7 linked regions of the Callithrix jacchus genome follow. The protein of the gene in region 1 interacts with the protein of each later gene in a pairwise test. Links are inferred from orthologs where the notes say so. Each region holds a gene or a part of one and is shown in the gene's direction. Other genes may lie near its edges. The genes, in order: ADAMTSL4, AQP1, SHFL, APOL6, MAPKBP1, SMARCC1 and AMMECR1.

The links.
Region 2: the proteins of ADAMTSL4 (region 1) and AQP1 interact in a two-hybrid assay, tested with the Homo sapiens proteins (2 studies listed by BioGRID and IntAct). The link is inferred for Callithrix jacchus from reciprocal best matches to the Homo sapiens genes ADAMTSL4 and AQP1.
Region 3: the proteins of ADAMTSL4 (region 1) and SHFL interact in binary tests that used the Homo sapiens proteins (3 or more experiments, as listed by UniProt). The two-hybrid records come from large-scale screens. The link is inferred for Callithrix jacchus from reciprocal best matches to the Homo sapiens genes ADAMTSL4 and SHFL.
Region 4: the proteins of ADAMTSL4 (region 1) and APOL6 interact in binary tests that used the Homo sapiens proteins (3 or more experiments, as listed by UniProt). The two-hybrid records come from large-scale screens. The link is inferred for Callithrix jacchus from reciprocal best matches to the Homo sapiens genes ADAMTSL4 and APOL6.
Region 5: the proteins of ADAMTSL4 (region 1) and MAPKBP1 interact in binary tests that used the Homo sapiens proteins (3 or more experiments, as listed by UniProt). The two-hybrid records come from large-scale screens. The link is inferred for Callithrix jacchus from reciprocal best matches to the Homo sapiens genes ADAMTSL4 and MAPKBP1.
Region 6: the proteins of ADAMTSL4 (region 1) and SMARCC1 interact in binary tests that used the Homo sapiens proteins (3 or more experiments, as listed by UniProt). The two-hybrid records come from large-scale screens. The link is inferred for Callithrix jacchus from reciprocal best matches to the Homo sapiens genes ADAMTSL4 and SMARCC1.
Region 7: the proteins of ADAMTSL4 (region 1) and AMMECR1 interact in binary tests that used the Homo sapiens proteins (3 or more experiments, as listed by UniProt). The two-hybrid records come from large-scale screens. The link is inferred for Callithrix jacchus from reciprocal best matches to the Homo sapiens genes ADAMTSL4 and AMMECR1.

What each region holds. Positions count from the first base shown.
Region 1 is NC_133519.1:10,468,519-10,472,305, forward strand, and holds the end of ADAMTSL4 (ADAMTS-like protein 4), read left to right. Parts: coding exon 1-8; intron 9-307; coding exon 308-512; intron 513-833; coding exon 834-1,010; intron 1,011-1,263; coding exon 1,264-1,467; intron 1,468-1,586; coding exon 1,587-1,766; intron 1,767-2,051; coding exon 2,052-2,196; intron 2,197-2,346; coding exon 2,347-2,483; 3' UTR 2,484-3,198; downstream 3,199-3,787. UniProt on the Homo sapiens protein: Positive regulation of apoptosis. May facilitate FBN1 microfibril biogenesis.
Region 2 is NC_133512.1:27,327,317-27,331,838, reverse strand, and holds the start of AQP1 (aquaporin-1), read left to right. Parts: upstream 1-1,500; 5' UTR 1,501-1,558; coding exon 1,559-1,942; intron 1,943-4,522. UniProt on the Homo sapiens protein: Forms a water channel that facilitates the transport of water across cell membranes, playing a crucial role in water homeostasis in various tissues.
Region 3 is NC_133523.1:9,278,708-9,282,961, forward strand, and holds the start of SHFL (shiftless antiviral inhibitor of ribosomal frameshifting protein), read left to right. Parts: upstream 1-1,404; 5' UTR 1,405-1,515; coding exon 1,516-1,536; intron 1,537-2,008; coding exon 2,009-2,132; intron 2,133-2,328; coding exon 2,329-2,378; intron 2,379-4,097; coding exon 4,098-4,136; intron 4,137-4,254.
Region 4 is NC_133502.1:206,571,902-206,574,573, forward strand, and holds the end of APOL6 (apolipoprotein L6), read left to right. Parts: intron 1-637; coding exon 638-1,613; 3' UTR 1,614-1,917; downstream 1,918-2,672. UniProt on the Homo sapiens protein: May affect the movement of lipids in the cytoplasm or allow the binding of lipids to organelles.
Region 5 is NC_133509.1:44,826,095-44,830,673, reverse strand, and holds the start of MAPKBP1 (mitogen-activated protein kinase-binding protein 1), read left to right. Parts: upstream 1-1,575; 5' UTR 1,576-1,702; exon of another isoform or gene 1,703-2,250; 5' UTR 2,251-2,359; coding exon of another isoform or gene 2,360-2,473; exon of another isoform or gene 2,474-2,542; intron 2,543-4,579. UniProt on the Homo sapiens protein: Negative regulator of NOD2 function. It down-regulates NOD2-induced processes such as activation of NF-kappa-B signaling, IL8 secretion and antibacterial response. Involved in JNK signaling pathway.
Region 6 is NC_133516.1:30,460,592-30,465,031, reverse strand, and holds the start of SMARCC1 (SWI/SNF complex subunit SMARCC1), read left to right. Parts: upstream 1-1,439; 5' UTR 1,440-1,540; coding exon 1,541-1,738; intron 1,739-1,888; exon of another isoform or gene 1,889-2,082; intron 2,083-4,440. UniProt on the Homo sapiens protein: Involved in transcriptional activation and repression of select genes by chromatin remodeling (alteration of DNA-nucleosome topology).
Region 7 is NC_133524.1:106,622,170-106,625,952, reverse strand, and holds part of AMMECR1 (nuclear protein AMMECR1), read left to right. Parts: intron 1-1,877; coding exon 1,878-1,992; intron 1,993-3,783.

The sequences.
Region 1 (3,787 bases):
CCCTCATAGTGAGTATGGCCCACAGGGAGGGTTAGGGTACTGGAAACACAGCGGTTGCCCCCACAATCTTACCTGAACTCTGCACTCAATGTGACATCTCCTGGCTGCAGAGAGACAACATGAGATTAGAAAGGCGGACGTTCCATAGGCAGCAAAAAAGCCACAGCAGCCTGAGCCCCCACAGGAACCCAGACTCCAAATGCCAAATGTGCCCACTCTCCTCTGAGGCCCCATGCGACCCCCTGCCGGGGCAGCCCCACACATCTCATCTGTCTCCTCCTCTTCCCTGCCCTGCTGGTGCCTGCAGCTGGGAGGCTGGCGAGTGGACATCCTGCAGCCGCTCCTGTGGCCCTGGCACCCAGCACCGCCAGCTACAGTGCCGGCAGGAGTTTGGGGGAGGTGGCTCATCGGTGCCCCCAGAGCGCTGTGGACATCTCCCCCGGCCCAACATCACCCAGTCTTGCCAGCTGCGCCTCTGTGGCCATTGGGAAGTTGGCTCTCCCTGGAGCCAGGTCAGTGCGCCGGGCAGGAAGGGGCTGGGGAGGGGAATGGGCACGGGGAGCAAGAGCAGAGGCTTTCCAACTACTTTTTCATCAGCAGAAACTATTTACAAACAGGGTTTCCTGTGGAACCCTGATATAGGAGTCAGATAAGGGACTGAACTAGGGATAGGGGGCCCAGGGCCCAGGGGCTCAGCCTCCTCCTCAGCCCACGAAGCCATGTGACTGCTGGGCTGAGGATGGAAGGCAGAGCCCAGTTCTGAAGCCCTAGAGCTGGAGGCTGGATGAGAAGCCCTGGGAAGCCCAGCTCCCTGATTCCCCTTGCCCGCTCAGTGCTCCGTGCGCTGCGGCCGGGGCCATAGAAGCCGTCAGGTTCGCTGTGTGGGGAACACCGGTGATGAAGTGAGCAAGCAGGAGTGTGCGTCAGGCCCCCCGCAGCCCCCCAGCAGAGAGGCCTGTGACATGGGGCCCTGTACCACGGCCTGGTTCCACAGCGACTGGAGCTCCAAGGTGAGCCCCTAACCCCCTAGCCAAGTCTTGCGTCCTGGGTGACCACGCCCAGGACACCCTCCTCAGCCTTTCCAGCACAGCTCCAACTTACGCGAGGGGCCCGGCTAGGACTCCCCGGCAGGCCTGGTACCCGGGGACGTTCCCTACCACCCAGATTCAGACCCAGGATGTGTCCCTCCCGCCCCCCCCGCCCCGTCCTGTCCTCTGTGCCTGTCACAGCAGGACCCTCACACAGACCTCTCCTCCTCCGCAGTGCTCAGCCGAGTGTGGGACGGGAATCCAGAGGCGCTCTGTGGTCTGCCTCGGGAGCGGGGCAGCCCACGGGGTGGGCCAGGGTGAAGCAGGAGCAGGAACTGAGCAGAGCTGTCCACCAGGAAGCCGCCCCCCTGACATGCGCGCCTGCAGCCTGGGGCCCTGTGAGAGGACGTGGCGCTGGTACACAGGGCCCTGGGGTGAGGTGAGCTGAGCGTCTGCTGAGGGCAGGAAGGGGGTGCCAGTCCTGAGGGGATTCCCTGTGGGCACTTGGGGCGCCCTCTGTCCTCCCCTCCCCTTCTTACCCTGTCCTCCCCGACCCAGTGCTCCTCCGAATGCGGCTCCGGCACGCAGCGGAGAGACATCATCTGTGTGTCCAAACTGGGGACGGAGTTCAACGTGACTTCTCTGAGCAACTGTTCCCACCTGCCCAGGCCCCCTTCCCTGCAGCCCTGTCAAGGGCAGGCCTGCCAGGACCGATGGTTTTCCACACCCTGGAGCCCGGTGAGTGCCTGGCTGCCCTGCCCTGTTCAGCCTGGGCCCCCAAGGGAGGGGTGCTCCTTTCACTGTACCCCTCCAGGTCTCTCTGTGCCCCACGATAAGAGCCAAGCTTTACCATTGTCCCATTTCTTGTCGACTTGGAGGACAGATGGGTCCTCTCCATCTGTGATTTCACAATGTCCTAGAAGGGTCCCCACCACCAGCTTTTGGGGAGGGAGGTGCCAGCTGGGGGTTAAGGAGCATCCCGGGCCTGGCAAAGGTCTGATAGGACAGCCGGGGTCGCCCCAGTGTTCTCGCTCCTGCCAGGGCGGACTGCAGACGCGGGAGGTCCAGTGCCTGAGCGCCAACCAGACCCTCAGCACCCGATGCCCTCCTCACCAGAGGCCCTCCAGGAAGCGCTCCTGTAACAGCCAACCCTGCAGCCAGCGCCCTGGTAAAGAGACCCCTCTCCCCAACCCCCAATAGAGTGGACTAGCTGAAGTATGGGAGGAGATGAGAAAGGACCAGTGGGAATGGGCAGCACAACTTCAGACAGGTGGGTCCTGGTGACAGTCTTGTTCCCACTGGCCTCCTCTGTCCCCAGATGATCAATGCAAGGACAGCTCTCCACATTGCCCCCTGGTGGTACAGGCCCGGCTCTGCGTCTACCCCTACTACACAGCCACCTGTTGCCGCTCTTGCGCACATGTCCAGGAGAGGTCTCCCCAGGAGCCCTCCTGAAAGGGGTCCGGGGCACCCCCATGGTTTTCTATGCCACCATCGGTCACCCAGTGATCAGCCCACTCTGAACCCCCTGGCTCTCCAGCCTGTCCCAGTCTCAGCAAGAATGTCCTCCAGGTGATGGGGGGTGGCAAGGTGACAGTGGCTTTCAGGGCTGTGGTGGGGCCTGTGTGGTGGTGTGCACAAACGCCCCCCAGGTGTGCATCGGGGACTGCGTGGATATGTGTGTGCTCAAACGTGTATCACTTTTCAAAAAGAAGTTCCACAGACTGAGGAGGACAAGACCTGTTTCCCTGAGACTCCTAGGCAGCGAGGAAAGCAAGTTTGCAGTTCCTTGCTAATGCGGGCTGCTTAGAGGGTGGTCTCCCACCAACTCCAGTTTTGTGCTCTGAGCTTCATTGCTCACGTTCAGGCCTCACATCTAAACCGCCCTGAGTCTCTGACCCCTCCCTTCTCGTTTGCCCAGTATCCCTGCCCCTGCCTCCCTGCTTAGCTAGGGCTGGGGTCAGCCACTGCCAATCCTGCCTTACCGGGGAAGGCAGGAGGACAGAGACTGCCTCTCCAGAGCAAAGCCCGGCCGGGCAGAGGGTGGAAAAGAGAAATGTGAGCATGAGAAATGTGACCGCAGCCCCAAGCCCCACGCCCTGCCTCCTGAAATGGTTTCCACCCAGAACTAATTTATTTTTTATTAAAGATGGTTATGACAAATGAGAAACGGGCTCTTCCTTGTCGGGCTGCGGGCCCCTCAGCAGTGTGAAGGCAGAAGGTGGGGGGGGGGCAGGGGAACAGCATCAGCCCAGGAGGAGAGTTTGGGCCAGAGGAACCCCGCCAGCCCCAGGCCCTGCAGGCTGGTCATGGGCCACTAGAGGTCACCAGTGCTCCCAGCCGAGGTGTGTGGGGCGCTGGGCCTCCGGGCAGCGCGGCAGCCGTGCGCTCTTTGGTGGGCCGAACCTCGCCGGGAAGTCTCTCCTTTCCACCAGGGCCTGAGCGAAGGACAGCTGGCTTGCCGAAGCTCCTTTTTCCCCTTCCTCTGTCCCCCTTTCTGCCGTCCGCATTGCCCTACGCTCCGGGGCTTCCTTCTCCTTCCTGCCCCGAACCCTTCCCTGGAGGAGCCCGGCCGGGGCGGGGGAGGAGCGGGCAGCACGGGTTGTCCTGCCAAAGCCACATTCCTCAGAGATGGCTCAGCCTGGCCTCCTCCCTCCCCCTCGCTTCTCACAAGGTAGAGAACTTGCTAGAGGCGGCCGGAGGGGGGCAGGCCTTTGCCATCACGTCGACTCCCTGACCCCGGCCCTTCGGAGGCTGAG
Region 2 (4,522 bases), on another chromosome or scaffold:
TAAGCACATTTTGAACGCAGAGGAGTCCTCTCATTGGGCCTCAGTTTCCCACCTATAAATGGGAAGATGCCAACACTGCTGAATGAGATTGTGGTGGGACAGGCAGGAGATGGGAGGAGAGCCCAGATCATCCCAGGCCCTTCCTAGGGGCCACAGGGGGACCCTCCCTCCTGGGCCTGGCTTGTCCAGCATGTTCCATGTAGCAGGCAAGAGGGCTGGGCCCCGGGGTTCCTGACGGCTTGCTGGCCCCTGAGTCCAGATTCTTGTTGTTTGTCAGCTGGCGCTAGACCTCTGGATCGGAGATGCCCAGGGCATAGGGGGTCCACAGGGGTCTGCCTGAGGGCTTTGGTCCCTCCTGCTGTGGGGGGCTCATCAGGCCCCTCCTGCTCTCTGCCTCTCCTCATTTATCTCTCCCTCTCTGCTTCTTGGCTCTGGGGTCCAGTCCTATCTCCCCTGCTTCAGTTCGTCTTTTCTTAACCCTCTGCGTGCTCTCTGTGTCTCTGCTTGTCTCACTGTCTCTGGCTGGGGATCTTTCTCTCACTTCCACTTTTGCTCTATTTCCCTGCTACCGCCTTCCTTCTCTCCGTGTCTCTCTGTTCTCTTCCCCTCAGCCTGCATCTCCCTGTCTCTCCCTTTCTCTCCTGCTCACTCACTCCCTCCTCTCCAGCACCTTCCAATACCAGGTCAGGCTGCCGTTCCTTCCACCTTCCCAGTGACCTGCCAGTGTGACTGCCTTGAGAGGAAAGTCCGAAACTGTCTCCATCGTCACCAACCTGCCCTCAAATCGTTGGTTCAAACAGCTCCTGAGAAGTTCGGGAGCTCCGAGGGTGGGCGCTTTCTAACAGCCCTGCCATACTCACAGCACAGAGAGCAGCCATAGACAACCTCTCTGCACCTACTGATGCCTCCGTGCCTGCTTCCACTGAGGCTTGGCTGGTGGGACTGGGGGCTTTGGGACATCCCTAACATGGCATGCAGTGGTCGTGCAGGAGGCCCTGACTGTGCCTCTGGAGCCCTGGGCTCAGAAACTCCAGGCCAGTCTCTCTCTGGGTTGGGATGGGGATGTCAGGCCAGCAGGATCATGGTGCCTGCCTCCAGGGAGGGCAGCGTCCACCCACCGAGTCCAGCCTACCCACTCCACCCACTCGAGTTCCTGGCTCTACCCTCAGGAACCCCCTGAGCTTTGCACACAGGGTGGAGACACCTGGATTTCTCTGGTCCCCTGAGTGAGGCCAGTTTGGAGGAATTTCCCAAAGCCTGTTAGAGCAACGGCCGCCTCCTGCCTGCCTCCTTGGGCTGGGCAGGGCTGAGGGCGGAGGGAGAGGGGGGGGGAGAGGAGGAAGGAAAAAGTTGGCAGGCCGACAGCAGAGCCGAGTCTGCATCCATCCAGAGGAGGCCCGTGCGGTGTGGGGCGGGCCAGGAGTGAAGAGAGGCCTTCCTCCCTTTGTGCTCCCCCCGCCCCCCCGCCCCTATAAATAGGCCCAGCCCAGGCTGTGGCTCAGCTCTCAGAGGGAGTTGAGCACCCAGCAGCGGTCTCAGGCCAAAGCCCCCTGCCAGCATGGCCAGCGAGTTCAAGAAGAAGCTCTTCTGGAGGGCAGTAGTGGCTGAGTTCCTGGCCATGACCCTCTTTATCTTCATCAGCATCGGTTCTGCCCTGGGCTTCAAATACCCAGTGGGGAACAACCAGACGGCAGTCCAGGACAATGTGAAGGTGTCGCTGGCCTTCGGACTGAGCATCGCCACGTTGGCGCAGAGCGTGGGCCACATCAGCGGTGCCCACCTCAACCCAGCCGTCACGCTGGGGCTGCTGCTCAGCTGCCAGATCAGCATTCTCCGTGCCCTCATGTACATCATTGCCCAGTGCGTGGGGGCCATCGTCGCCACCGCCATCCTCTCCGGCATCACCTCCTCCTTGCCTGGGAACTCGCTTGGCCGCAATGACGTGAGTGGGGTGTCCCCGGGCTCGGGGTGTTCTAGCATGATGCTGAAAGGCACTGGTTCCATCCTTGGCCCATTGTGCAGATGGGGACACTGAGGAATGGAGAGAACAAGAGGTGGCTGGAGGTCACGAAGAGAGCTGGGGCTAGAACTCAGCTATGCATGCCTCCCAGAGCCTGTTTTCCGCCAGGCACTGTGGGAAGCTGAGAGCCAGGGAATAATGGTCTTGCCAATGTCCCCTGCAGGGCATTTATTATGGGGAATAAGCTTGGCCAGCCGTTCCTCGCCCCTTGGCTGTAGCTTTTTGGCCCTTCTCAGTCCTGCCTGTGCCGCCAGCTCCCTCCTCCTGCAGCCCTGCACCCTGGGGAAGCTTTGCCCACCATCCCTAGCCACCCTGAACCTGATGCCCAGCCTGTCTGCAGCTGGTTCTGCAAGTGTATGAGCAGGACTCCCTCAGGGAGCCCCCAGGCCTCTGGGGAGCCCCCCATATTCACACAGGTTTCCAAACACACCACCTCTAGGAATTAAGAGAAGAGCTCTCTTCCACTCCTCTGCTCCAGGGAATTAGACAAAGATAAGGGAGTGAAAACACTTTCTGGGGCTGTTTGGAAGTGGTTTTCCTGGATTACAGTGTGGGCTGGGGGGCAAGTGCTGGGCTCCAGGCACTGACAGGTGTGGCGTGTGTGTGTGTCTGTGTTTGTGTTTGTGTGTGTCTGTGTTTGTGTGGGTGTGCATGTGTGCATGTGTTTGCCAGCATGGGTCTCTGAGCTTGTGTAAACTGTGCGCATGTTTGTGCACCCGTGTAAGGGTGTGTGGGGGTGTTTGTAACCACACGTGCCCATGGCTCCTGGCCTGAATGGGGTCTGGACTGGGGTCACTAATGACAAGCAGATGCTGGTGACTGGGTGGCAGCTGTGGAAGAGAATGTCTCCTGAGCTGCTTAGCACGGCTAATAGGCCACTGGTGGCAGCTGCCTGCTATCTCAGACCTGAGTTTTTCCAGCTCCTCAGACAAGTGCAAACTCAGGCCGGGCTTGGGCCATAGCAGGGGTGATTTGGCCTGGAGACTGAGGAAGGCTTGGAGGATGTCTCTGAGAGCCCAAGGGGTAGGTGAGCAGGCTTGGGGGTGCCCTCATGGGGAGGGAGGGAGGCTAAGAAGTAGAGAGGAGGACTCATCTAGAGAGAGGAGGCTGGCGGGGCTGTGGGCAGGGCAGGCAGGTGTGGGGATGGTGTGAGCCATCTCTGAGGGTGCCACAGAGATGGCAGGAGTGATTATAGCAGCTGTCCTCTCTCTTCCTAGCCAAAGTTCAGATTCTGGGGCTGGCAGCCAGCAGGAGGCTAGGTAAAGGTCTGGTGCAGAGGGCAGCTGGCTCAGCCCGGCCACGGGGGGCTTAGCACTTTTGTGTCATGGTGACAGCTTGCCCAGCTTCCTCTGCAGCCAATCTCTGCTCAGCCCAAGATTGAAGATTAGCTCCCTGGGCTGGAGTTTAGACTTTTGCCAGTTTAGACATGGCTACAGGGGATGTAAGGGACAGAGCTCAGGCAGGCCACGTCAAGTTCTGCCCCCCAGGCCTCAGTTTCCAGTGGAGGCAGAGCTTGTGGCCTCAGGGAGTTCCAATGGGTAGGGTCAAGCTCACACTGAGGCTTGGCTGGGCATCATGGGCTGGGGAAGGGTCCCCATGGGGGAGGGGTTGCAATTCCCAGGCTTTCTGGCCCCATCTCTTCCCTCCCATCTCACAGGGCAGTACCTCTGCACCTGCTGGCAAAAGCTCCACGCTCCAGTATGGGCATCTGAGGCAGAGGCAGGAGGGTGGGCCCCATCTGTGCCATCTGGATCAGGGGCCACACCCAACTCCCGTGCCCCATGTCCTCCCTGGCCTCCGTTTTTTATAGTAACCCCAATACTTGGGCTGGGCATGTTGCAAATGGGAGAAAAAGAGGAGCAGCCTAGTGTGGGGGCCAGCCTTGGGCTGGGAGGCACACACCTGGATTCAAGACGTGTCTGTAGCTAACCTGTTGAGCTTCCTTGGAGCTGCGGACCCTGAACCTGGAGAGGGGACCTAGGTCTTGTGACATCTCACAGCCACACCCATACAGCCAGCTCACTTCATTGCTTTGCACTTATCACCCATCCCAGGGAAGCTGGGTAAGAGCAGCCAAGCAGGGCCAGTGCTGAACCTCAGGGCACTACGAATTGCAGTGGGGGCTCAGGCGCTGCCCTGTCCCGACAGGAAGGATGGGGTTCTGCAGCTCAACTCTGGGCCTAGAAACAGAAATGTGCCCCCCGAGGGCTCCCATCAGACACTGGCCCTGGAACTGGAGGGGGCTCAGGGGTGGCCCGGATGCCTTAAAAGGGACAGGGGATGGTCTGAGCAGCAGGTGACACACTCCTTCATGATCCAGGGGAGACTCCCGCAGCCTCTCTGACCCTGAGCCCTACCCCAGCCAAAACCTGGGTGGGACAAGTTGTTGGCATGGAGATTTCCAAGGAAAACAGAGAAAGAGGTGGCAGGAAGTGGTTGGGATGAGTCAGGGGGTGTCCCTTTGAGACATGTTGGGGACAACTTTCTGCTGACTGAGTCAGG
Region 3 (4,254 bases), on another chromosome or scaffold:
CATCTTTACCAAAAAACAAAAATTGAAAATTAGCCAGGAATAGTGGCATAAGCCAGTAATCCCAGCTACTTAGGTGGCTGAGGCAGCAGGGTCATTTGAGCCTAGGAGTTCAAGGTTGCAGTGAGCCATGATCAAGCCACTGCACTCCAGCCTGGCCAACAGAGCAAGACCTTGTCTCAAAAGATAATAAATAAACAAACAAACAAACATCCATCTGCGGGTGGAGCTTTAACAGTTTTACCTATAGGGGTGTCCAATGGAGAAAAAAAACTGGAGTCGTTGAACACAATGCTATTTTGCCACTCAGAGAGCATCTGGCAGTCTCTGGAGACATATTTGGTAGTCACCATGGGGAGAGTGGGGAGCCATTGGCATCTAGTGGGTGGAGCCCAGGGATGCTGTTAAATGTTCCCCATAACAGGACAGTCCCCCACACAAAGAACTAGGCAGCCCAAAATGTCAAGCGTGCTGGGCTTAAGAAACCCTTGCCCGAGCGCCCCAGACTTAGTCTTGCTTTGGGGGCTCCGCAGGCTGCTTCATCTCCCCACTCTATTCCTCCCCCAGACCTCCAATTCCAGTGACGCTGTACAAAGCATCCCCTCCTCCAACGAGGCAGCCATCTCTGATGTCCCCAGGCTGGGCCAGAGCCCCACCACTCTAGGGCTACCAGATGCATCCTGTACAAGGTTCGAATTGTCCCGGCCCACCGCGTTCTCAACCATGGCAGATTCCCTGGATCCCTGAGACAGCCGGATTCTACCGGGTTACTAGAGACCAAGAATCTGTATTTTTCTCAAGCACCGCTCCCCGCACCACACACACACACACTGCCTGCCCCATCAAGGGCACACAGCAGGTGGCCCAGTGCTAGTGGAGCGCCTACTGCAAGCCAGGCGCTATTACGCGATCCACTCGGGAATCTTGGCACAGGCTCCACTCCATGGTGTAGAAACCAGGATCTTCCCCATTTCACAGAGCAGTAAACTGAGGCTCAAAGAAGTGACCGTAGCGGGACAGAGACTCAGGGCAGGAAAAGGGCCCAGGTCCTCAGAAGCTCCAGATTCCCGGGGGAGGAGGGAGGACAGAGGAGGGTGATGGACTGGGGGAGCGCGCGCTGGGTGGGGGGGCGCGGGGCTTCGCCGCGGCCTTCCGATGCAGCCCCGCCCCCACGAGGGACGTGAAGACGCGGACCCCGCGCAGCGTGGGGACATGTGACCGACTGCAGAGGCCGCGCCGCCTCCCCCGCCCGAGGTCTGCGCGCTCCGCCGCAGGGTGCAGACCCGGGGCTCCCGCCTGGGTTTGGGGCGCAAGAGCAAAGGCGGAGCCAGGGCGGAGCCAGCGCGCCCGGTCCCCCCCGAACCGAAAGCGAAACAGGGGCCGGGGAGGAAGGGCGGAGCCGGCCCCGAGGCACCGCCCCCTGCCCTGCGCGGCTGCTGGACCGACGGGCGCGCCCAGGTAGGGGGGCGGCTGAGCCGCGCAGTGCGGACCCTCGCGGGGACCTGCGCCGCCGCCACCATGTCTCAGGAAGGTGTGGAGGTAGGAGATGGCTACGGCTGGTCCGGGGGGGAGCCGCGACAGAGCCCGAGGAGCGGCCAGGAGGCGCGGAAGGGGCTTCGCAGTTCCTGGGGACCCCCATCCTAGAACCCCAGATCCTTACCCCTGCCTTGCGCTCGCCCCCCTTGAAAAGGAAAGTGACTCCCACGTTTCCCCAGAGCAAAATGAGGCCTCCCTGAGGAAAAGCGGGGGCTGCAGGGTCAAAGGTCAGAGGCCAGAGATAACCTGGCCGACCCCCCACCTTAGGCTGGGACGCTCGCCCCGGCCCGCGCCCTCCCCCAACGCCCTGTGGGGACTTTGGCTTTTTCCAGGAAATGCCGTAGAGGGATGGGGGGGGGGCGGCGGAGGCCAAAACCAAGGGTCAAGTTCAGGCCGGGAGAACGGTGCCTAGTAATGGGGGAGGGAAGATCGCGCGTCCCCTTCCCCCAGCGGAGCCCCCGTGTCCCCATCCCAGCTGGAGAAGAGCGTCCGGCGCCTCCGGGAGAAGTTTCATGGGAAGGTATCCTCCAAGAAGGCGGGGGCTCTGATGAGGAAATTCGGCAGCGACCACACGGGAGTGGGGCGCTCCATCGTGTACGGTGAGGCTGAGGGGGCCCGGGCCTGGTGCGGGGACCGCGCGTGGGATCGCCGAGGGGGCGTGGTGTAGGGAGAGGCGTTGAGATCACCTCCCCTGGAGATCCCAGCTTGGGGGAGGCTCTGCGTCGCGGTTCTGGGTGGCCTGGAACTCCCACAGACCCTTCAAAGGCCCTTCCCTTATGCGCACTCTCCCCGCAGGGGTAAAGCAAAAAGATGGCCAAGAACTGAGTAACGGCCTGGATGCCCAGGTAACCCTTCCCCTCTCAAAGGACTGGGTCACGGGAGGGAGAGCAAGAGGGGGCCCGACCCGTTCATGGGGACCCTCCTCTGAAACAGCAGGGACCAGGCATTGTCGTCTGCAACTCATGCCCAATCTTACTCACTTTTTCACCTCTCCATCGTTTGCGAGACCAGGGAGCCTGCAAACAGTAGGCGCTCATTATGTGCTGATTGTATTCAATGGGAGAGAGAGAGCCATGAAACTAGGCAATGAAAGGAGCCAGGATTATTGCCATGGTAGGGGAGCCCCAGAGGTCAGAGAAGGCTTCCTGGAGGAGGAGGTACCACGTCTTAAAGGATGGGGTGTAGTGAGCCCTAGGAGGGGAAGCCAGGGGTCTTGGGGTGGGGGAGGGAATGGTATGAGCAAAGACTGGAAGTGGGGAAGGGTTGTTAGTGGCAGTCCCTAAAAAGGCTGCGATGAGCAGGGGATTGGGGAGGAGAGAGAGGTGGGGAAATGGAACCCTTGTGTTGAGTGAGTGAGTGAGTGAGTGAATGAATGAATGAATGAATGGTTTTGAAGCACAGGTTCAACGCGGCTACTTTGCTTCTTGGAGAGCTTTGGTGATGGGAACGCTGTGGATTTCATCTGCCTGAAAGGCTCAGTGTAGGGCTGTAAAAGAGTATAATAAAATATGCATCATAGTCCACATTTACACATGTAAAAGTATGATAAAAATATAGCAGAGGGGCCGGGTGCAGTGGCTCATGCCTGTAATCCCAGCACTTTGGGAGGTAGAGGCAGGCAGATCACTTGACGTCAGGAGTTCGAGATTAGCCTGGCTAACATGGTGAAACCCCGTATCTGCTAAAAACACAAAAAATTAGCTGGGTGTGGTGGTGCATGCCTGCAATCACAGCTACTTGGGAGGCTGAGGCAGGAGAATCACTTGAATCCGAGAGGCGGAGGTTGCAGTGAGCCGAGATCGTGCCATTGCTCTCCAGCCTGGGCGACAAGAGCAAAAAACTCCATCTCAAAAATAAAATAATAATAACAATAACAGAGGGTAGCATTGATTGAGTACTTCCCACATGGCGAGACTCCAGGAATTGATTTATTTCATCACCACAGTGACCCAGGAGACAGGTCCTATTATTTATCATCCCCATTTCATAGACAAAGAAACTGAGGCTTAAGTCACTTGCCAGGTTCTCGAGGCAAGCAGGTGGCAGCTGAGATTTGAACCCTGGCCACCTGGAGTCAGAGCCTGAGCTCTGACATGCCTGTCAGTCAGTGGGAACCCAGGGGGCAGGGAGTGGCTTGCCCAAGTCCCCACAACTGGAAGTGATAGAGTTAGGATTCAAACCTGAATCTCAACCCAGATTCCCACCACTTATCTCTGGCACAGTGTGGCGTCAAAGGGGTGATGCATCACAACACCAACAAGCATGTAGCATTTGCAGGCAGGAAGTGAGTATGGGAGTCAGGCTGGCTTCACTCAGGCAAGTCCTCCACTAAGCCTCAGTTTCTCCAGTGCAGCAATAATGTCACAGGTGTGCCCACTTCTCAGGGCTGTTATGAGGACAACTGAGACCACACACCTGGCTCTCAGTAAGTGGGCAGTGCTCTGTGAGTTCCTGGCGAGTTAGGGGCACCCCATTTTCCTTGTAGCCAGGCCTCTACCCCAGCAAACAGATGGAAAGAGGCCTGAGCCCCATCCCCCATTTCTGCCCCTGCTATCTCCACCCAGGACCCACCAGAAGATATGAAACAGGACCGGGACATTGAGGTGAGTTGGTGGCTGTGGCTAGGGATGGGGAAGTGGGGAGGAGGACATCTGCAGGCACAGAAGCATGTCCATTAGGAAAGGAGGGGAGATATTCACTGGGGCAGGAGGAAGACCCCTC
Region 4 (2,672 bases), on another chromosome or scaffold:
GTCGCCAAGCACCAGGCTGGAGTGCAGTGGTGATCTTGGCTCACTGCAACCTCCGCCTCCTGAGTTCAAGCAATTCTCTTGCCTCAGCCTCCCAAGTAGCTGGGACTACAGGCGCACGCCACCACGCCCAGCTAATTTTTGTATTATTAGTAGAGACGGGGTTTCACCATGTTGACCAGGATGGTCTCGATCTCTTGACCTCGTGATCCGCCTGCCTCTGCCTCCCAAAGTGCTGGGATTACAGGCGTGAGCCACCGCACCGGAGTTCCCAAGTTTCTTATCTTGAATAGGGTTTTAACATTTCCTTACTGCCCCTCCTCTGTGGCAGTGCCGTGCTTTCTGTGAACAAGGCTGAAAACATGCCTCAGGACTAATCTGCCTTCCCCATTCCTTGGCCAAGGCTGGGGTGACTCACATTTGTCCCTCCACATGCCCCTTTTATGTGTTTCTTTTCTCCATGGAACCAGTAGCTTTCAGTGAAGGTTGAACTCCTCTATGACACTCCAAGAATTTTCAGGGGATTTTGAAGGGAGGTACAGGGAGGACTCAAAGTTGAGAGTGGCGAGAATATCCAAGAGCCACATGGATTTTCCCAGCTGGGAAGCTGAAGCAAAATCTTTATTTCACTTTTCCTCAGGGACGAGGATGATGCTTTTCTGTGTGAAGATGTGGAGCTACAAGATGGAGATCTGTCCCCCAAAGAAAAAATATTTTTAAGACAATTTCCCAGAATGAGAGAAGATCTAAAAGGTAACATCGACAAGCTGCGTGCCCTCGCAGAGGATATTGACAAAACCCACAAGAAATTCACCAAGACTAAGTTGGTGGCCAACTCCACTGCTGTCGTCTCTGGGGTGGTGAGCCTCCTGGGTTTAGCCCTTGCCCCAGCAACAGGAGGAGGAAGCCTGCTACTCTCCGCCACTGGTCAAGGTTTGGCAACAGCAGCTACGGTCACCAGCATTGTGAGCGGTTTGCTGGAGCGCTCCCAAAATAAGAAAGCCCAAGCTCAGGCTGAAGACATACTGCCCACCCATGACCAGGAGGACAAGGAAGCTGCGGAAGAGAAGGCAGACTATGTCGGAGTCGCTATAGACATTATCTGTCACGTTAACAACACCATGAAGAACGCCAAACACAACGTCCGTGCATTTCAGAAAATCAGAGCCAACCCACGCTTGGCCAATGCCGCCAAGCGTCTTCTGACCACTGGCAAAGTCTCCTCCCGGAGCACCGCACAGGTGCAAAGGGCCTTTGCAGGGACAACACTGGCAATGACCAAAAATGCTCGCATGCTGGGAGGCACGATGACCACCTTATCCCTTGGCCTTGACTTGGCCGCTCTCTCAAGAGAATGGAAGCACCTGAAGGAAGGAGCGAGGACAAAGTTCGCGGAAGAGTTGAGAGCCAAGGCCTCGGAGCTGGAGATGAACCTCACAGAACTAACCCAGCTGTACCAGAGCTTGCAGCAGAAAGTGAGGTCAAGGGCCAGAGTGGTGGCGAAGGTTCTAACGGGGACCTGTGAAACCAAGGCTTACTGGAAGGGGTTAAGGGAGCATGTGTGGATATTTGTGTGTCTGTGTGTGTGTGTCTGTGTGTATGTCATGTTTACATGAATGCACCTCAGGACACGGGTATACAATGGCCTTGGAGGCCCAAACGGTATCAAGTACATCTTGGAGATGAGGGTGCCTGTCCTGGACACACGTGGGCGTGCCTTCTGTTTCTCCCTCAACACTTCTTAAGGCCCATGTGCTGGGAAAAGGGTCTTCCCAGTTTGTTTGTTTCTTTGCTTTGAGACGGGGTCTGTGTCACCCAGGCTGGAGTGCAGTGGCGTAATCTCTGCCTCCTGAAAGCAAGCAGTTCTCCTGCCTTCGCCTCCCAAGTAGCAGGGATTACAGGCACACACCACCAAGCTCTGCTTTTTTTTTTTTTTTTTTTTTTTTCATTTTTAGTAGAGACAGGGTTTGACCAGTTTGGCCCGGTTGGTCTTAAATTCCTGACCTTAACTGATCTATTGACCTTGGCCTCCCAAAGTGCTGCGATTACAGGAGTGAGCCACTGTGCCCAGCTGAGTCTTCCCAGTTTTAAAAAAAGGACACTGAACCACAGGGGGAGTTAGGAACTAAATTGCCTTCTCCTTCTAATTCATATGTTGAAGTTCTAAACCAAAATGTGGCTGTATTTAGAGATGGAGCCTTTGGGAGGTAATTAGGCTTGAATGAGGCCATCAGGGTGAGGGCCTAACATGATGGAATTGACCTCCTTATAAGAGGAGCAGAAACACAAGAGGGCCTCCCCACCCCTGCTGCGCAGCTGCACTGAAGAAAGGTTATCTGAGGACACAGCAAGAAGGTGGCCGTCTGCAGGGCAGAAGAAGAGAGCCCTCACCAGGAAGTAAATGAGTCAGCAGTGCAATCTGGGGCTTCCAGCCTCTAGAACTGTGAAACAATACATTTCGTGGTGTAAGCAACCCAATAGTAGTTTGTTACTATTTTGTGATAGCCACCAAAGATGACTAAGCCAGGGAGGTTATGTCACTTGCCAAGTGTCTTAGTCTGTTTGTGCTGCTATAACAAAATACCTTAGACCAGGTAATTTACAAACAACAGAGATGTATTGCTCACAGTTCTGGAGGCTGGGAAGTCCAAGATCAAGGCACCAGCAGATTCCTA
Region 5 (4,579 bases), on another chromosome or scaffold:
GCATACAAGTAAAGACACCAGGTGGCACCATTTATTAGCTTTTACTCCCATGGAGAGGTCAAATCATGTACTAGCAATGGGTTGAGGGAACCAACGATCTGTTGCATATTGTAGCTAATGGTTCTGGCCTTTTTCCTCCAGATTTGGGAAATACATTTGAAAATCACATTTCATGTTTCATAATATTTGCAGTGCATGGTTGAAGGGAAGAAGGCCACATGCTATTGTTGGTCTTCCAGAAGCTGACATCCATCATCTCCATGTCAACTTGTGAGCTTTACAAATCTCATTTTTAGTATGTGGTTACAGTATACACAAGCACATACTTGCTTTGCCACTTGGCTGTGCAAGACTCACCATTGTACACAAGCAGTGAATTTAGGGGTTCTTCCCTCTTGCTAACACGCGTCATCTCAGGGCTTCAAAAGATCTGGATAGGGTGAGACAGATACACCAGTGTACTATTTCCCTTGGGTCCCTTGTCTTTTATTTAGGCTTTTTCATGAGGTCTAATAATTCCTTAGAGGTTCCTCACTTGTTGACACGTGTTATCTCCACAGGGTTTCGAAAGATCTGGGTGGACTGAGACGGATACACCAGTGTACTATTTATTCCCTTGGGGTCCAAGTCTCTGGCTTGAGGTAATTTGTTATAGTAGTAAAGTGGAGAATACTCAGGAAATATATATTGTATGTAGCATTTCCGTGTATTCCGTCTCCCCCGCCATGAATTAGAAAAACTACCCCTCGTTATAGTATCAGCAAGCTTGACAGTGACCTCATCAAGGAAACAGCCTTGGGGAAAAGGATTCACAACTAAATTTTGACAGGAATAAGGAAAAAGATCTGGAGCAACAAAGTCCTGGTCAGCTTTAGTTGAGGGAGCACAATGGGATTTCGGAGGCTAAAAAAACCATGAAACTTACAGTATGTCCCATAGCACATACACTTGTCTTCTCTCTTACCCCGCACGCCCAAAGCTCTGTTCAAAGGCACCCTTTCCCCTTTCATTATGGCCAATCAGGTTGCGTAGTGCAAAACATTGTTCTTAGCAATTGAATTGCGTTACTCAGAAGAATCCTTTCCACGTTGAGTCAACGTGCCGCACGGGCTACGAGCAGAAAATATTCCAACCGCTTTAAATCTCGACACTTAGGGTCGCTAGGAGCACAGCTTTTAGGCTGTAGTTCAGTCTTATTGTGAGCTAGGAGTTTCTGCTACGGGCCCTCGGGCCTATCAAATGCCAACCTTAACACCATGGAGGCGTGGTTATCGTCTGGGGGCTCTGGGAAGTGCAGTTCTCTGGGGGACAAGGCCTGATAATACCATAAAAGGCTTGGTTCTCTCAATTCTGAAGCAATGTTCTGTTGACCTTCCTTTAAAAGCGTACCCACAATTGTGCGGATTCCGTGGTTCTCTAGTCCCAAGTCGTCTGCTTCCTGGGTCCTTTCATTGGCTCCGCCCCGTAAACCTTGCTCGTCTACTCTGGAAACGCCCTCCTGGCTACAGGCCGCGCCCCTCGCGTTGGCTCCGCCCATCTGGCGCGTATCTTGGTCCAAGCGGTAGTTCGCGTTTTGAGCCGCTCGTGCCACCATAGCTCCTGCTGCTGCCTCTACCGCTGCAGCTACCGCGGCGGGGCTGAAATTGTCGAGCGCGATGCCCGAGGGCGCTGTGAGCGTGGTGGCCCTCGCTCGCCGGGGCTGGTGAGGCCGGGCCCGAACGGGGGCGCTGACGAGTAGCAGGGGCTTCAGAGGCGGGTGAAAGATAAAGGTTCAGAGCCGCTGTGGAGAGCAGAGACCGAGCTTTGGAGGATAGGGGGTGGGGAGGGAGGCTCCCGTGGCAGAACGAGTTGCTGGTTTACGTCCCCGCTGCCGCTAGCGCAGGTGCCCTGGCCTCCTGTTGAAATCCCTGGTGGTCTCGGCAGTCTCCTCCCTTGGACAGTACAGTTGCCATGGGAACAGTTGGGCATTAATGGGAACCAGATAGTCCACAGTTGGGCATTAACGGGAACCAGATAGTCCACGAGACTAACTAGGGCCCATCCCATCCATTTCGCCAGTTAAATGCCTCTGGCGGTCGTGGGCCTGGCATTTCTTCGTGGCTTAGGATTTTGTCCCCCTTTTTTGTGAGCTTTTCCTTCCAACGTTGTAAGAAACTGTGCAGGGGTCGAAGGTGGTAATGAGGGAAAAGGTGCAGACTTCACTAGGTAGAAGATAAGACTCTGATAGTAAGGTGGCTTCTGCCATCTCAGGTCAGTGAGAGGGCATATTCGGAAGCCCTGTGGAGTGGGAAGACAGTGCCGCTGTTGAGACAAGACTCAGGACTGGGCCAGGGACTGTCCCAAGGGGTTTCTCGTCGTAATGGCTATGGAAGGGTCAACCATTACCAGCCGAATCAAGAATCTGCTGAGATCTCCTTCCATCAAACTACGCAGGAGTAAGCCAGGAAACCGACGAGAGGACCTCAGCTCCAAGGTGAGTCCTGGTGGGAGCCACCTCTTTCCAAACCGACCCTCTCCTGCTCCATGTTCCTCTTCAACTTTCCTGTTTATTGGGAAAAGATAACGAGAAGCTCTTGTTGACGCTAAAGGATCACTTGTGATCTCTGCAGTCAATGATTTGGTTTTAGGTTGAAGGAAAAAGCAGCAGGGGTGGCCATGCTGAGAGTCATCCTGAGAAGAGGTAAATAGGAGGAAGGCCACCTGTCCTTCCTGGGTTCAGTTGTGGTATTACCCCCTGGGTTCAATTGTGGTCAAACTATACACTAAACATGTGCTTGGGAAGCCAGTTGATATGCTATGACTCAGTTTCCCTTCTTGGGAGAGGACAGTAGGAACACATACCTTGTGAAGGGCTAAGCTGTGACTAATGTAGCTGCAGGTGTTAATGTAACAGCTGGGGTTATGTAAGACTGTAGTGGCAGAAAGAAATATGCCAAAACACCTAGTCGGAGGAATTGGCTTGGTAATTGCTCTTGCCCAGGGTCAGAATTTTTTTGTCTCTTCAAGTGGCATCTTGGCTTCCTAGAAATGATTGCACTCAAGAAGCCAGATATCTCTCAGCAAAACAGTTCAGGATGGTCCTTGAGCATTGCTTATCTCATTCACTATATGAACCACATCCCACTCCACTGCAGATGATACTCACAAACAAAGTTCCTTTCCATCCCTTCACTTATCTGGGTTTTGTTCCTTATGCTTTTTTCAACTAAACGAACCCCAGAACTTTGGGAATCCTGAAGTAGACTACATTTATTTAAACCCTTGAGGAAATCCAGGGCTTTATTCCCATAGGATCAGATCAGATTTTGTGTCTTATTAGTAGCCTGTAAACACGATAGGCTTGTGTGGTACAAGATTGTTACAGGGAGAGGCATTTGAGACCACAGCATGTTATTGCTTTGTCTGTAACTCTTCAATGATGAGTAAATCCCATGAGGAATGATTTGGAATGCCACTGTACAAACGGCAGGATTCTGGGACGGCTGAGCTCAGCTCTGTATTCCTTAGCAGAACCTTGACTGGATTTGGTAAGAAGGTGAACAGCTTTCCTGTATATTTCAGCAGAAATTATACTGAATCACAGTTTGCTAGAAGGTTCTGTGATGGTGGACATTGTGACCCTTCCAAGGTCTCTTATTAATCCTTGTTCCTATTCTCCTGAGGCAGGCGAGTAAGCCTGAAACATAGAAATTGTCTTAGATATGACTCTGTTCATTCTTACTGCTGCAAGTGCTCTTATTCGTGGCCGGTAACTTGGCAGTGACCAGCACTGTTAGAGCAATCTTCTCAAATCTTTGGCCTCTTTTTCTGGCCAGGAATGGTATAAGTAGTAGAAACATGTAATGAGGGTTTAGCCTTCATTATTAATTCTTACAGTATGGTTGCCATTCTTTAAGACTTCCAATATTATTCATTACTAATGCATTTAACAAGTGTTTATTGAGTGCCTATTAGGTGTGCAATCAATGATAGGTAAAACATTACCCTTGCCACCAAAGCTTATGGCTAGTCAGACATGTAAACAAATAATTAAAACATAGTGTGATAAGTACTGCTCTAGAAGTATGCGTAAGTTGTTAATGGAAGCACAGGGGAGGTGACCTAAGTCAGTACAGGGGAATTAGGAAAGGCTTCACTGAGGAAGGGATGCTTGAAACATGAGTCCTGAGGCAGGTGGAGAAAAGTTCTCCAGGAAAACAGAAAAGGGGCATCCCTGGGAAGACCATTTACCATTCCCTGTTTAAAACAGGAATTCAGTGCTTCAGACTGCTTTAAATGGCTTTGTCTCTCCTAAAGCTGTGTATGAAAGAAATACTTAGCTGAAGTTGAATGACCGTTGAATGGTCTGGCAGCAAAATGACTGGTGCATATCTTTAGCACCCAAGAGAAATAGCTGTCTTTGTGTGCCCAGGACCCTAGCGATGCTGGACTCCCCACACTCTTCAGTAAAAGATCTCTACCTAAGATTATTCTTAAAGCCTGCCGTGTGATAATTCTAGTGTATTAAGCTCTGTGAGTTGCTCTAATATTTGGTGGCTGTGGGTAATCGTGATAACAGGACATGTGTGCTTCATGGATA
Region 6 (4,440 bases), on another chromosome or scaffold:
TCTCGCTCTGTTGCCCAGGCTGCAGTGGAGCGGCTTGATTATAGGTCACTGCAGTCTTGATCTCCCCAGTTCAAGTGATTTTCCCTACTCAGACTTCCAAGAGGCTAGGACCACAGGCTTGCACCACCACGCCCAGCTGATATTTTTATTTTTTGTAGAGGCAGGAGGGGGTGGTGGTCTAGAGCTTTTGGGCTCAAGCAATCCTCCCGTCTCAGCCTCCCAAAATGCTCCGTGCCTGGCCAATCATATCTTGTTTTATTTATTTATTTATTTATTTATTAATTATTTGAGACGGAGTTTCGCTTTGCCCAGGCTGGAGTGCAATGGCGCGATCTCGGCTCATCATAATCTCTGCCTCCCGGATTCAAACGATTCTCCTGCCTCGGCCTCCCTAGTAGCTGGGATTACAGGAGCCCACAACGATGCCCGGCTAATTTTGTATTTTTAGTAGAGACGGGGTTTCCTCCATGTTGGTTAGGTTGCTCTCGAACTACTGACCTCAGCTGATCCGCCGGCCTCGGCCTCCCAAAGTGCTGGGAGTACAGGCTTGAGCCAGCGTGCCCAGCCTCATACCTTGTTAATAATTAATAATCATTCTGCTTCTATGTGGGCCATTCATTAATTCATCAAGTATTTACTGTACATCTTATTCCTTGTCCCAGGTGTTCAGGTTACACCTGTGAACAAGTCAAGATTAGGTTCTCATGTAATTTATGTGGAAGGTGAGAAACTAGAAACACCGGATCGTGGTGAGCGCTACGAGAAAATGTGTGGTTGAGAATAGTTATTCAAGATTTTAAGATCTGACGACTTTCTGAAGTGCTTTGAAGCAGTGAATTTGAATGCGTCTCTTAAGTGAAAATCAGAAGGGAAGACCTGTTGGAAGTCTCGGAAACAGCCGGTGCCAGGGCCCCTGGGGCAGGAATGAGCCGCTGTGGCTGGAGCCATGAGGGAGGGGAAGGTCTGTGAAGCCATTAAGTTCAGGCATGGGCATCCCAGATGGCTGTGCAAAATGCCGCGGGACCGCTCCGGGTGGAGGGTCTGCCGGAAAGCTGAGCCCAGCGCAGTCCCAGTCCGCGCGCAGGGTCCTCGGCCAGCACTGGATACCCTAGACAGGCTTTCCTCTCGGCACTTCTCGTACCAGGCCTTTTCTGTCCAGCAGAGCAGGCGATGACACAGAACCCACCTGCGGTTGCTGACCGCATCATGATTGGACGTCTGTAGCGAGAGAAGAGCAAGGAGCTCAAAGACCCGCGCTCAGTAAGCGAGAACGTCCACAGCCTACGGAGGCTGGCGGAAGAGGCGACTGGAAATCGTTGCAGGGCCGCAGAATAGCTGCGCATGCGTGTGGGCGGGCTCGCGACGGATACGGCGCCAGTCCGGAGATGGGGCGGGGCCGGGCGTCCGCGCCGGAAGGGGGTTGGCTGGGCGGGGCCGGCAGGCGGCGGTGGCGGCTACGCGCGCAAGGGCGCGCGGGAGCGAACGGGAAGCACCGCAAGGGTCGGGGTGGGCCAGGCGGTGAGGGCGACAGGCGGCGACGATGGCTGCAGTAGCGGGCGGCGGTGGCGGCCCAGGGGCAGCAGTAGGCTCCACGGGCTCGGGTGCTGCTGCGGTAGCAGCAGGCCTGGCCGTTTATCGGCGGAAGGACGGGGGCCCGGCCACCAAGTTTTGGGAGAGCCCGGAGACGGTGTCTCAGCTGGATTCAGTGCGGGTATGGCTGGGCAAGCACTACAAGAAGGTGGGTTCGCGCGCTCGCGGGGGCCGACAGACCACGCGACTGGGGCGGGAGGCGGCAGCTGGCCTCGCGGGCCCCGGGCCGCCCCTCCCCCTCCGCGCGCCACGAGGGACAACAAAGGCAGGCGCTGGGCCCGCCACGCCCCCGCCGTCCGCTTTCGGCGCCCGAGCGCCCGGGGCTTGACGGGTTCGTGGCTCGCTCCTCTGAACCCACGCATTCCTGGAGAAAGCCCTTGCTCATTCTCGTGTGCCAGAGCAGGTCGAGCTTAGCCACTGGGAGAGTGTGACTTTCTTTCGTCAGCTGCCTTAGGTGTCTGAACAATGATCCCTAAAGACTGAGCAAGCGTGGTAAAAGCTTTAAGTTTTGTTATAGAGAGTATTCAAAGCCTCGAGGGGGTTTGCTACCTGTTGTTGATTTCCTAAACAACTAAACTGGGATGACTATATTCGTTAATTACTAACAGGTTAATATGAATTATATAGGATGGATGTGAACTTCTATTAAACAACGGTTTTTACCTGATTATACTTCTGGTTCGGTGTGGTGTGAGAGTTAATGTTCATTGTACTTAAGGGGTTCTTCAGGGAGGCCTTTCCCGAGAACCCAGTTTTTATTAGAGCACTTTCCTTATGTTACCTTTTTTTCTTTGTAATGTTTACCAGATTTTGAAATCAATTATTCATTTACTTATTTCTCCTACCTTTAGAATGGAAGTTCCGCCGAGTCAGTAGTTTTCAAAGTTTTGACTTAATCCCTTGTTTATAAGAAATGCTTTTTTAAAAATTTCCCCTTTGTGTAAATATTCAGGAAGAGTCCCTTAAAGGGTGTAATGAAGCAGGTAGCCAAAAAGCCTCCTCCAGCCTCTGAAATTTTCCCAGCACCCTCTTCAGTTCTGTACTTTTCCCCATTGAGGATCATAGCACTAAAGCAAAGGCTTTGTTCACTGCAGTGTATCTGGGAACGTCGCTGATACTTACTGCCTTACCCTGAATAGCTGCTTAGTAAATATTTGTTGAATGAATGAAAAGATAAACTGGTTTAGGAACCTATTTATTTGGCCTCTAGAGCTCAGTGAAGCCTGTCGGTGTTGGGCAGTTATTAGGCATGGGCAGGGATCTTGGGTTCCTTTGGCATTACACGTGGTTTATTCAGAAGTGACCATTTCTGGCCAGGCACGGTTTGGGAGGCCGAGGTGGGCGGATTTTGAGGTCGGGAGTTCGAGACCAGCCTGGCCAACAAGGTGAAGCCCCGTCTTTCCAGAAAAAATGCTAAATTAGCTGGGTGTGGCGGCACATGCCTGTAGTCCCAGCGATTTGGGAAGCTGAGGAAGGAGAATCTCTTGAAGACAGAAGGCAGAGGCTGCAGTGAGCCGAGATGGCGCCATTGCACTCCAGCCTGGGTAATACAGTGAGACTCTGTCCCCCTCAAAAACAAGAACAAAAAAAAAAAAAAAAAAAAAGGAATGACCGACCCTCCCTCCCTCCCTCCTTTCTCTCTCCTCCCACGCTCCTTTCTCTTTCTCTTTTCTTTCTTGAAGGTTAGCTAGAAAAATTACATTTCTTATCTGAAGTTTGAGGAAGTGAGAGACAATAATTGTATTTTTAGGTGCTTAGATTTCCCCTCCCTCTGAAGTTATATTTAGACTGTACATTTTTAAGAATATTGCCCTTTCTTAAACAGTGATAAATTGGTCACTTTTTAAATGTGGGTAATAGAGCTTCTAGAAGTGGCTAATGGAATTGAATATGTTTTCCTTTTAGCCAATGCTTTGGGTCTTTTTTTTTTTTTTTCTCATCTAAGCTTTGGGTCTTTTATTTTTTTTAATTGAAGCACACAGGTGAATGTGCTTGGGTCTTAAATTCAGTGGAGATTTAACAAAGAAAAGTAATCTAGAGGCATATTCCTTTGAATATCAAGGAACAGAGTAGAAAAAGGCAAATTTCAGTAATTTCTACCTCTCCAGACTCTTCAGTGTGCATCAGTTTGGGACCAACTACAAGAAGCTTTAGCCATGGATAATCCTTCAGGCATTTGTTTGGGCGGGTAGGGAAGTGGCTACAAAGCAGTTTGAGGAATTGCTTGGCAGTATTGAGACCACCTGGGTAATGTTGACTCACTGTACCTGAGACTTTATAGACAAAGTTACCTTTGACCTCTCTGAACTTGTAAAGCCAGAGAGTATTTTTAGGGTCTACTCAGATTCAGAATCATGTATACCTTAGGCTTGACAGCCAGAATCTTTTCAGTCTCTGGGTGTTACTGTTAAAGTGGTGAAAATACCATCAGAAGGTTCTTTGATTCTTTTCTACACAATGCATTTCTATTTGGTTAAAAACCAAAAGATTGGTTCTATTGGATTTAATACTGCTGCATTTTCAGAGCAGTTACAGTTTCAGTCTCAGTAAACATGACTTTGGTAGTGTCATTTTTTGATTCATTTTTAATTTACTTTATTTTTTTTGAGACAAGGTCTTTCTCTTGCCCAGGCTGAAGTACAGTGGTGTGATCATAGCTCACTGCAACCTCAAACTCTTGCATTCACTTCATGCATTCAGTAACCGAGCATTTACCATGTGCCAGGTACTTAAAGCATAACTCACTTAAAATCCTCACAGCAGTTCTAGGTGATAGATATTATTTACCTTCTTTTTTTTTTTTTTTTTGAGACAGAGTCTTGCTCTGTCGCCAGAGCTGGAGTGCAGTGG
Region 7 (3,783 bases), on another chromosome or scaffold:
TTATGCATACAATTCTTCTGGTCTGTGTTTTAGAACTTCTTTCCTGTATGTGGAGGGGGTGGTGGGATACATACACACATGTCTTTATCTTGGATTTGAATGAGAACTTGGAAGTATTTTTTAAAATTTTTATTTGTCAGTAGAAAAATAAAAGAAGCCAAACCATAGGGAATTTACATCATTAAATTATAAAATAGTGAAATGCTGTTTTCAGAGTATGAATTATCACAGATTTCCTGATTTTCTTGGTTAATATTGGCTTCTTGAATGGGAAAAACATTTATACTTTTATACATATATAACATTTCTATATCGTCCTATAAGCATTTTCCTTTGTATAGCAGGATAAAATGAGCACCCAAGTGTATTGCAAATATACAAATGCAGTGAGTGAGCTTCAAAATGCAAACAAAGAGATGGGAAAATGAAAAAAGAAAATTCAGCAATGAGAAAATCACTGGAAAATGATTTAAATTATTTTCAAGGCTATGGAACTATGTTATGACCCAAGCAGTTTGTAGAGTCTGAGTTTGTAACCTCTGAGGATTAATCTGTGAAAGTATTTCTAAGCCTGGCTACTATCTAGGACATTTGAAGATGGATATCATGAATGCCAGTATTGCCATTAATATATTAGGCAATCAGAGGTATGTTTGTTTTTCTTGATGAGGAAGTGATTTCTTTTAAAAAATTCAGCAATGAGAAAATCACTGGAAAATGATTTATTTTCAAGGCCATGGAACTATGTTATGACCCAAGCAGTTTGTAGAGTCTGAGTTTGTAACCTCTGAGGATTAATCTGTGAAAGTATTTCTAAGCCTGGCTACTATCTAGGACATTTGAAGATGGATATCATGAATGCCAGTATTGCCATTAATATAGTAGGCAATCAGAGGTATGTTTGTTTTTCTTGATGAGGAAGTGATTTCTTTTAAAAGTACAAGGAACCGTGTGTGTGTGTGTGTGTGTGTGTGTGTGTCTGTGTGTAGTTTCTGTTCCACTGCAGGAAGAATTATGGTTTTTCCACATTTTACAGTGGAGATTTTCTAGAGTTTGGCACTATGATATACTATACTTGATTATAGGATCCAATCAGAGTTGATGTACTCAGAGGTTCATTGACGTGATTAATGGTCTCCTATTCATACTTTTATTTCCTAGATTTGCCCTATTTCCTGTAGTTCCACAATTTTTGAGTCATATGTTAAATTATCCTTTATAGGGAGCCTGAAATTCTTATTTTTAGTCTATAATTTGCATGATTATTTCCATTTTCTTTGTTTTTTTTCTTGAAGAAAATGAAATTTTCATCTTCCTTTGAATCCTTTGAGTGCTATTCTATGGTGACTGGCTTACCTAGTATAATCTTTTTAAAAATAATATTTTGTGTGTGTGTGTTCATGTGTGTGTGTGTGCACTTATAGGTATATGTACACACACACACATACACGTGCGCGCACACACACACACACACATAAAATTTATTTTTACTGCCACCAGCACTGGATCCTGAAATCTTCCTACAAATTTCTACTAGTCTAGTTTTTATTCTTCTCAAAAGCAAAATAAAACATTCTTAGATTCTGCAAGTAGCAGGGCAAGACACCAGGAAATGGCTATACAGGAAATGTAATTGATCATTCACTCTTTACAATTGAAGCAGTCACAAGATTGGCTAGCAAACACAATCTGTTTAATGAAAAACCAAAGGTGACTTCTAAAATCTTTGGGGACTTTGAATACATTTGAAGCTTATTGATACCTTTGACATCTTACTGATTCTTTTTGAAACTCTTACCTTTTTCAAATAATTGTTTGCATTTGAAATTTGGAACTATGTCCAGTGATTGCTTTAATATTTGCTTTGTTTTTGACAGTGCCCTTAAAGATAGCCGTTTTCCCCCAATGACAAGGGATGAGCTGCCACGGCTTTTCTGCTCAGTGTCTCTGCTCACTAACTTTGAAGATGTCTGTGATTATTTGGACTGGGAGGTAAGATTATAGAAAAATTTTTAAAGAAAAATGAAGGTAACTCTTGAGTAGATGTTAAAAACTAGGCCCAGAAAATAACTCTTTCAGCCCATTCTCTGTTGTAATGGAAGTCGAGAGTAATATGGATAAATAAACCTCACAATTGAAATATGAGATATAAGTAAATTAGTTTTTAAAGGGCAAAGTATCATGTATTGTTATAATCCCCAGACTGAATTTGGTTTTCATTTTTATCCTACTACCTCAGCAAAGCACCTCATAAAAGCTGTTAATATGTAATAAGAAGGACTGATTGGAATTTATTTCTCCTCTTATTTTCATCTTGATGTACTCTGGTATAACCGCCACCAACTATGTAACTAGTTGGTCAGAGGATACATCTCAGAAACAAGAAGAAATAGTTAGGATAATATACCATTTGGCAGAATCAGCTTGCGATAATAACAAGGTATTGATTAACTAGAGTTAAATAATGTGAATTCCTTCTTGGCTACCTTAATTTATACATTTAAACACCCTAATAAATAATATTAAGGTTATATCTAGGGTATCTCTGTGTATTGCTATTATTAGAGTAGCTTATAATGATCCTATTTGTATTCTTCGTTACCATGTGGGGTTGGCTAACATGATTTGCTTTGGTGGCTGGGAGATGTTGAGTGTAGGTCTATGGGTCTATGAAATTTTAACACAACCACGCCCATATTACTGAATACCTGTTGTATTCCAGCAATGTGCTACATATACAAAAGTGGTAAGATTCAGTTCCCACCATGAAGCATCTCATAATTCAGTAGCAGAGTAAATGTGTATAGAACGTATGAAGAAATAAGTGCTATGAGAATGAAACAATAGGAACTCAGTGATAAATACAGCATTCTGTCTCACACATACACTTATAAATGGCATTATTGTATCCTTACGACAGATTTTAATTCTACTGCTGTTTTAGATGACCATCCCCCATAGTAACGTAACTGTTCTGCCTTGGACATAGATCACTCTCTTCACAGTTTATTAGACTTGAATTTAATTTTGGATTTGCCCTGATTCCTTGTGAGACTTTGAACAATTTACTTACTCCACTTGCAATTCAGTTTTCTAATATACAGAATAAGACATTAATTTTCTTCATTTGAAAAAAAATCTCTATGATATAAATTATTGTTCTTATACCAGAGCTATTTAAAAAATTTTGGGGAGTGTCATAAAAAAAATCTTTTCTACAGATAGTACAATGCAAGAGTCCCCTCTGGGTTTTCTGATAAGATTTTCTGGAGTATTATCAGAATATGAACACACCTTACGATTTTTGCAAAAGAAGAAATAAAATAAATTTATACTGTTGTCCCCAGCAAAGTTGGAATGTGGAAAACCTTTAGTAAACTTGAAATTTCTAAGTTACTATTTCTATAAGTTTGTTCTTCTTATTTGATTTTTTTAAAAGAGAAGTCTACAAATATTATAGAAATATTCCCTAGTACTTTATTTTTAAGTGGTCCCAAATCATGTTCCTTACTTATTAACATATTTTATAATTTGGATGGTTCTTTTACTGCTTTAAAGCTGCTGTTTCTTCTTCCGCAGCCAGATTTACTTTTGCTTTCTGGATTGCAGAGTGTTGTGTATGTAGTAGTGGGGGTGGGAGTGATTATTTGGGAAAAGCCTGAGATCTAAGGGGGATGACCAAGCAGCTACTGAGTTGAAAGTACAGTTCTGGCATGTGTGTTTGCGTGTGTGTGCATGTGTGTATGTCACAAACATGAACATACTAGTATTACATAAATGTGT